Danio rerio: one gene and its partner. The protein of the gene in region 1 interacts with the protein of each later gene in a pairwise test. Links are inferred from orthologs where the notes say so. Each region holds a gene or a part of one and is shown on either strand. Other genes may lie near its edges.

The links. The genes of interacting proteins can lie anywhere in the genome.
Region 2: the proteins of fxr2 (region 1) and ap2m1b interact in binary tests that used the Homo sapiens proteins (3 or more experiments, as listed by UniProt). The link is inferred for Danio rerio from reciprocal best matches to the Homo sapiens genes FXR2 and AP2M1.

Annotation. Positions count from the first base shown.
Region 1 is NC_133182.1:22,740,705-22,745,219, forward strand, and holds the end of fxr2 (fragile X mental retardation syndrome-related protein 2), read left to right. Parts: intron 1-22; coding exon 23-121; intron 122-666; coding exon 667-758; exon of another isoform or gene 759-986; intron 987-2,189; exon of another isoform or gene 2,190-2,504; coding exon 2,505-2,615; 3' UTR 2,616-4,152; downstream 4,153-4,515. UniProt on the Homo sapiens protein: mRNA-binding protein that acts as a regulator of mRNAs translation and/or stability, and which is required for adult hippocampal neurogenesis. Specifically binds to AU-rich elements (AREs) in the 3'-UTR of target mRNAs.
Region 2 is NC_133193.1:48,953,095-48,957,609, forward strand, and holds the start of ap2m1b (AP-2 complex subunit mu-B), read left to right. Parts: upstream 1-994; 5' UTR 995-1,167; intron 1,168-2,285; exon of another isoform or gene 2,286-2,605; intron 2,606-3,886; exon of another isoform or gene 3,887-4,323; 5' UTR 4,324-4,364; coding exon 4,365-4,438; intron 4,439-4,515.

The DNA of each region.
Region 1 (4,515 bases):
CTCCTTTGTTTCTGCCTCTTAGAAGAGGAGGGCAGGCCTCAGCGCCGCAATCGAAGCCGCCGCCGCCGTAATCGTGCCAACCGTCCTGAAGGAGGCTCCACCAGCCGTGACCGACAGCCAGGTGATTAATTATGTACATTAATGAGAGAGGAGGAACGGTCAAATGTAGGAGGAGCACCAGCATGGAGAGGAAATATTAAGTTGCACAATACACATAAATCATATTCTGTGTTGCCAGTTGTGTAGAAATAATGCCAATTCAAAGCCATGTGTTTTAGTGCTAATAATTTATTATAACTTCATATAACCTGATTGTGCAGAGCTGCTTGAAGAGAAGTACACTTGTGTATATAATAATAAATAACTAAATATTCAAAAACCCATCCAAAAATGTGTATAGATGTGTAAAATGTGTCGGCAGATGGTTGGATAGGGTGAGATTCTGCTTCTGATCATATTTAAAGCTAATTTATTTTGACCATATAATTGGGCTGTTGTTGTATATTATTGTAAATAATTTGGGTGGTTAATATGAAGTCATGTCTTCTAAAAGATGTGAATACAGCTATAAGAGCTGTTTCAATGCTACAAGATTTGAGTCCACCTGTTTGATCTCCCCTGCTGCTTTCCCTCTTCTGACTACTGTTGCCGGTGTTGTTGGTATAGTTACTGTTGCTGACTTCATCTCTCGTGCCGAGTCCCAGAGCAGACAGAATCTCCCGGGGAAGGAGGCCAACCCACACGTGTCCCATCCTAAGGTCTGCACATACTACAACACAAGACACATAATTATGCATGATTGTGAACGTCTTTACTGTGCATGTACGTTTTTGTTTTGTTTTGTTTTTTTGGTAAAAATTTACTATGACAGTTCATAAATTAATGTATTTACTAACATGAAAAAAACTTTAAGTAATACATTTATTACATTTTAGCTAACATTGGTTAATGTTATTAAAGTTACCTAACGTTAGTTTTAGTCTTAGGCCTGTTTCACACCGCAAGCGTGAGCAGAGCGTGAGCAGCACGTGTGTTTTCGGCGTCCATGTTAACAGATTAGAGCTTTCATACCGCACGCAGCAGCAGCGCATCAGAGCGAGGCGTGAGCGTCGCCGAAGCAGCAGTGCAGCGATAGTTTCGGCACTGGTTCTATTTTTGACGCGCTGCTCACGCTCAATTAAAGTGACAGTGCATTGATAATGACCAAAACACATTGAATGACAGTAAAAAGTAGCAATTTTACCCAATAAATGTGTTAATAATGTCAAATGGTTTATATATAGTCATTCAAATTAACTTAAAACGATTAAAAACGGCAACAAACATTTATTTAGGCCCAAACTACAAAACCAAATATAAAACAATTTTAGTATCAGTTTTGCTTAAGTTGCACACTAGTGTTGTAGGAGAGGGGAAATAGAATATTTACGGGATTTGTAGTCCATAGCGAAGTGTATTGTGGGTAGTGTAGTTCGACACGCATGCTGGATTATGTGAGCTCGCTGTGTTCTGTGCAGCTAAGCAGAGGAAGAAAGTTTTAATCGGCTTTGTTTTATGTTCACTCGGATTATTCCTACCGGGAGCTGTTTGCACTGTGAATCTGACAACACGAAAATAAGTAAAAGAATGGCATGCATTGGTTACTTTTGTCCGTCTCATCCTCTGCACGAGCATGAATTAACGAGCTGTTATTCTGCCGCTGGACATCACTGAAGCAGAGAAAGTAACACTAGTTTGATCATGTATAAATATCATTATAATTATATTGTATAAATATTATTATAACTAGGTCTACAGCAACCTGATAATCAAAAAACAAATGACATGATATCACAGGCAATTGTCTTTTGACTGTAGACACTTCTCATATAAGTTAGCTTAAGAAGCAGACAGTACTATTTGATCTATAAAATTTGTAAAATAAACATTTGCAGGTTAAAGAAACAGCATAGGAGGGGCCTTGGTGCAGATGAAAAGTTTAAAAAGTGTATTTGTATATGGAGAGACATGGGTAACTAGATTGAATAGACAGAGATAGGTTGATCTCTGCAGCAGCTGCCGAAGAGCTGCGCGCTGCAGACGCAGCTGGTGTGAAAGGCAAACGCCTGCGTGCTGCTACTGCTTGACATACACGCTGCGCACGCTCTGCTCACGCGCCGCTGACGCTTGCGGTGTGAAACAGGCGTTAGCCCACAGTCCATTATCTAATGTTAACAAGCACAATTTTGGATCTTAACGCAATAGTAAATGTTAAACTGTGATTAATGCTTTACAAGATTATTCATACTTCGTTGATGGGAGTGTCTGTCTGTCTGAATATCATTATATATGCTACATTCTGGCCTGATTGTTACTTTTACAAGTATTGCTTTTTTGAAAGCCGAGTAAAATGTCTGTGCCACCATTATAAAATATTCAAAGTAATCTTTTGGGTTAAAGCACAGCTTGACTAGCATTAGACTCAAAACATAGCATCAACAGTGTTTTATCTCTCTCTCCATCAGGAAAACGGGACCAGCGTGAGTAAGGAAGAGCGCACTCCTTCAAAGCGCTCGCCCAGTAACGGCGTGGCGTCGCCCGGTGAGGCTCTGGCCATGGTGAACGGCGTCTCCTAAAAAGTCATCTCGCCCCCTCAAGACCCACGTCTAAAGCAAGACACCATGGCGAACTCTGTCCCTGCTTGCATTCACGTAAACCTTTAAACTGACGAATGAAAATCGACTAAAATCCTTGAATTCATGAAGTCTACGAGAAAACAAAAAAAAAAAGTAAAAATACGACGAGCGCATCTACTTTAAACCACACATAACGGTGTATGTTTATCCTATCTATCAGTACTTAGTGCTTATTTAAGACAAGCTTGCCAAAAATGAGCTGATGGATATGACTCAAATTTCTGACGTAACACAGAAAACAGGACGTGACTATTTTGGGGTTTCGTTTTAGATTTTTTTAGTTTTCGTTGTTGCTGTTGTCGTTGCCGTCATTATTTGTTTTCGTTTGTTTGTTTGTACTCACTGGCGTGGGATTGTGAACACACTCCCCAACAGATATAGCATCTCTGAAAACAGTGTTAGCTAAATGAGGGCGGAGCTAGCGGAGAGGATTGAAGGCGGAGCCTCTCACGAGTGATTGACAGCTGAGTCTGTGGTACTCTGAATTTAAGGGCAAAAAGGGGAAGCGGAGAGACATTGTGCCTTGAATTTGAAAAAAAAAAAAAAACTTGAGTATTTTCTTTTTACCTTAACGTTTGCGTTCTCGACTGGATGAAGTAGATGGTTCCGTTTTGTTTTTGGTGTTTTTATTTTGTCTAAAGGATGGAGAGGATTGTGCGGATTAAGAGGAGTGCGGATTTTGGGGGAGAAGAGCGATAATTAATGCCAAACATGAAATTATGACATTTGTCCAAGGTCGTTATTTGAAAGCCGTTTAATGTGTGTGTGTGTGTGTGTGTGTACGAGTGTGTGTCTGTTTGTTCATGTGTTGTTGTGAGACATGAAGTAAAAGTGTATAAATTGGGAAGGACGTCATATGATCCAGGAGACGACAGTAGAATCCTAAATGTGATTCGATCTCTCTGATTGAGGTGGCACAAGTCTTTCCCAATAGAACAAGACCGAGACGGAAACAATCTAACAGACAGTGTTGATCATATTCAGTATTTCAACAGCCCACCATACGGTTTTGGGGAGAAGGGAGGCAGGATTATTGTGAGTGTAAAAGCTGGCATGCGTGTGCACACACACTCTCGGTAGCTTCCAGCCACCGCTGTCTGAAGGGCTGGATGGGGTTGAGGCCTCACCGGCGCCCCCTCTGGTGTGTATGGTTGGTCTTCGGTAAACAGTGAAACCCTTTTCTGATGAAGAGTCAGGCATTCGTTCACACACATACATGCATACATCCGAGAGCATTGTAATACACTCCAGTGTGCAGGAATGGAGCTTGGGTCTCTGCTCAGGAGGTTCAAGCGTTGGTTGTATTTCTGGTTGTCCCGATGAAAAGGGGAGGATTGTTCCCTTGCTGTTACTTGTCATCTTGGTTCCTGCTCTCAAAGATTGTTTTTTTTTTCTTTTCTTTTTTGGTTGTACTTTCCACATCATGAAAAAACAAAAAAGATTAAAAAGGAAGTGAAATAAATTATTTCTGGAATGACACCTGTGTGTGTTTTGCATTCTGTTTTCATTTCCGTCTGATTTCAGTTACGCGATTGATTGATGAATGGGGAATAAAAACGCATCGAAACTAGTAAAACTAAAACTTGTATTAAAAAAGCAATGATTTCATCTAGGACTTGCTTGTTAAAAGATCTTGCACAAAAAGACACATTTCACAGATTAAGTCAGAATTATTAGCCCCCCTCTATATTTATTTTCCCCAATTTATGTTTAAAGAAAAGCTTTCACACATTTTTAACACAATAGTTTAAATAACTCTTTTCTAATAACTGATTTATTTTATCTTTGCCATGATGACAGATAGTTTTCAAGATACTGTTAATTAAAGGCTTAATTAGGT
Region 2 (4,515 bases), on another chromosome or scaffold:
GACAAACGCAACAGTAACTCAAATAAGCACTCGTTACAACCGTGGACTGTAGAACAGCATCTCTGAATGCACAATACGGCCAACCTTGAAGCGGATGGGCTACAGCAGCAGAAGACCACACCGGGTGCCACTCCTGTCAGCTAAGAACAGGAAACTGAGGCTACAATTCACACAGGCTCACCAAAATTGGACAATAGAAGATTGGAAAAACGTTGCCTGGTCTGATGAGTCTCCATTTCTGCTGCGACATTCGTATAGTAGGGTCAGAATTTAGTGTCAACAACATGAAAGCATAGATTCATCCTGCATTGAGTCAATGGTTCAGGCTGGTGGTGGTGATGTAATGGTGTGGGGATGTTTTCTTGGCACACTTTTGGCCCATTAGTACCAATTGAACACCATGTCAACGTCACAGCCTACCTAAGTATTGTTGCTGACTGTGTTCGTCCCTTTATGACATGACCACAGTGTACCCATCTTCTGATGGCTACTTCCAGCTGGATAACGTGCCATGTCATAAAGCGAAAACCATCTCCGACTAATTTCTTGAACATGACAATGAGTTCACTGTACTCAAATGGCCTCCACAGTCACCAGTTCTCAATCCAATAGAGAACCTATGGGATGTGGTGGAACGGGAGATTGAACTGTGTGATTCTATCATCTCAATATGGACCGAAATCTCTGAGGAATATTATTACCAGTACCATTTTGAATGTTAACCACAAAGGATTAAGGCAGTTTTGAAGGAAAGGGGGGTCCCCGGTACTAGTAAGGAGTACCTAATGAAGTGGTCGGTGAGTGCACAAGCCTACACACACACACAAAAAAAAACTAGAAAGTAAAAACTTTATTTCATGGAAAGGTTGACATTTGTATGGAATGGCTCAAATACAGAAATAGTTGAAATCTAGAAATAGTATAAAGCCCAAACGTGCGAATATAAAACCAAGTTTACCTCAGTGTAAAAGCACACGCGTGTCAGCTGACTGTCGGCTGCACAGGGAGGGAGCAGCGGGCGACATCTTGGATTCATGAGTGAGCGGTGACCGCAGCCTGGAACATCAAATCCGGTCAATAACACCGAGCTTCGGTCAGAACCGAGCACATCTGTGTCCGCCAAGCCGGTTTTGGTCGGGAGGGACATCCAGAGACAAACACGGAGGGGTGAGTTGGGTGAATTCACCGGCCGGGTCTGTCGTGACACCGCCGAGCTGAGCTAGTTAGTTAGCTTAACCAGCTAACCAGCAGGACGCGGGCGTTTTACATTAACGTTAGATTCGCTTATGGAAATATGTCGAATGATGACATGTATATGTGGTATTAGGGAACGGTTATCTGAAGAAAACGCCGTTTAAACGTATTAAATCGTGATGTCTGTGTTTTTGAATGGGAGACCTTTACATAACGTTACCTCTACAGCTCGCGATTTCTGGCTAATATTTTGACGTTTTAATAATAAACCCAGCCTTTTTCTGTTAGAATTATGCAGAAAGCTTACTGTGAACGGTATATATTGGTGTTTATTAGAGTTTTCTGTCATTTTTGAGTCGAGACAGACAGTCGCAGTGCGCTGGTCTCCATCCGCAGACATGATTGATGCTGCAGAGAATTGTACATTTATTAAAAATCATCACTGGAAATAATGGAAACATCATAAATTCCCGGTTAGCTCCGTAACTGCTATATGATTTTTCCTTTTTTTCCCCCTCCATCAGCAGCCATTATGGATGTTGTAGGGCTAAGGAATGACATCATCATCAAAATATTCATTATGTTCTTATGATATTTAGAATTACTCATAAAACTGTAACCTTTGTGGTGTCACAATGCTTACTCCTAATGTTGTTTTGTCGAGTAATCTTGTGTTGACAGGCTATGTGGTCTGTCTGTGTGTTAATATTAATTTTACACAATGCAGAGGTTTACCCATGCATATTATCCTTGGTCATTTTGGTTTAGACTTGCTTCAGTTGTTCCTGTCATTTCTGCTTGATTCAGTATAAGGGTCTCTCATCATCCAGATAGATGTGTAAATGTGTCTATAACAGGAAACGCAGGATAGATTAAGTTATAGTGTGATTTTTATAAAAGCTTACATGTGTGTTTTTGTGTTATATGTGATGGAGAATAATTTTATGATTAATAAAGAAAGATGCGAGCGAACATGGATGTCCCATTTGAGGAGGAAAAGACATAAGTGGCAGAATTATATCTTTATATTATTTTAAAAAAAAAATTAATAATTATTTTTCGTTTTTTTTTATTTCACCTTTATTATACAGGACAGTAGTGTTGAGACAGGAATACCTGGAAAATTTAGAGAGGGGGTGAAGGATCGGCGAAGGACCTTGAGCTGGGAATCAAACTCGGGTTATCGTGACCACCTCAGTGATATTTGCCGGCGCACTTTACCTCCAGACTTTCACAGTATATGCAATGTTGTACTAGTATTATGATTTATCATTTGTATGTGTTTTTGATGTCTCTGATTGTGTTTGGGCTGTCACGATACTGGAATTCGATACCTATCGGTTCTGAATTTAAAAGACATCCATTTCCTGCTAACATTTGGGCACTGTTGTTAAGCACTTTCTTAAACAGGGTTGATTTGCCATTGTGGTCATGTGCTCAACAGAAGTGACAAATTGGCCATGAAGGTCATCGTTTCACCGAACTCACTGCTGTTTACTGATTGTAACTAAAGATACAGCGAACACTGGAGTGTTTCAAAGTCGCGTCTATCAGCTGGTTTGTCTGTAAGCTGACATACGAGCGATTCGCTGATGAATCGCGGAAAAAAACACAAATTTTTATTTTATTATAAAGAGATTCGATATTTTTTGTAAATATGACTATTTAAGCTACTTGCCTTATAATATTCCTAAATGTATTGTTAAAAAATATTAAATAATTACCGATATCGAATAATATGGAGCATAATACTGTGATATATTTTTTTCCAATATTGCCCAGCCCGCTTCACGGCCAATCACAGTCATTTCAGTTGAGCTTGTGAACTCAATGGCAAATTAGCGGTGCTTAAGAACGTAATCAAAAGCACTTACATGTTAGCGGAAAATGGACGTTATTAAAATTTCATTACCGTTTAATATCGAATTCCAGTATCGTGACAACACTTAATTGTAAATTGATTTCAAAAGCATTCAAGTATTGTGATAGGGTTGTGTCGATAGACGATGCCTTCGTCCATTGCCGATGGCCGACAAACTTTTATCCCCACATTTATATTCATATATAACTTATTTGCATGTCATCTTAATAGCAATAATGGTCTTTTCATGAGTTGTGCTAAATATTACTTATAGCTGGCGCTTGCACGGCTGACAGCATCGTGAGGATTAAATGAAGGCTTATATAGTAACTCTCGAACTTATAATGTGTAAATTCAGTGGCAAACGCTGTTACCTGCAAACCCCGTCCTACAGACTATACAGTGAATGGCTTTAGTCATTTTCATAGCGGACTTGAAACACTGGAAGTCTTTTATCCACTCTTGGAAAAGTGTAAATGGATTAACATTCAGCACATGATCACTAATAAGATGTGCCATTATTAGTAACTTTAGGTAAATCTGTCAGTGTTATTTTCATTCTCTCATCTTCAGCGCTTCACATTTTCACAGTTGTAGCTCCTGTCATCTGAAGGCAGAAGGCATTAACTGAGTGATTGACAGCTGATATTAACCAATCAATCGCGTTCAGTTAGAGCAGTGAGCCAATAAGAAGAGCACACATGGACACTGGAGCGTTTCAAAGTCGATCAGCTGGTTTGTGTTCAAGCTGACATACGAGCGATCTGCTGAGAAATCACAACTTTAAAACGCTCCAGTGTCCCTGTATCTGTAGTTACACTCAGTAAACAGCGGTGAGTTCGGTGAACAGATGATCTTCTCGGCCAATCACAGTCATTTCTGTTGTGCATGTGAACACAATGGCAAATCAGTGCTGATTTAAAAACGTGCTCAACAGCACTTAAATGTTAGCGGGAAATGGACTTCAGGCTTTTTATTAGCTTGTCATGGGTATTCTTGGGTGTTTCCAAGGTTCAGATAGAGAGGATTACAGGAGCAGGGTGTTAAGAGAAGATCTTCACGTGTTGTCAACATTGTCGTGGTTGTGCACTTTAATCTCTCATTAAGTCTCCCAATGAGAGATTTAATTTAGCTTGTTTTGGTATATTTTTACACTTTAAGCTTAAGCTAAATTCAAGGTAAACTGAAACATAATGCACTTTAAAGTTAAATCAGATTTTATAAATTATTTTGTCCATTGACTGACGTTTTGGCTCCTCTTTATTCAGTTTTCCAGCATGGCCTGTGAACACTGAGTTTAACCGCCACCATGATTGGAGGACTCTTCATCTACAACCACAAGGGCGAGGTGCTGATCTCCCGTGTTTACCGCGATGACATTGGGTAAGTCTATGTGATGTGAGATCTAAGCATTTGGGAGTTAGGTGTAATTAAGTAATTTTGGTTGAGGTGCCTTGCCT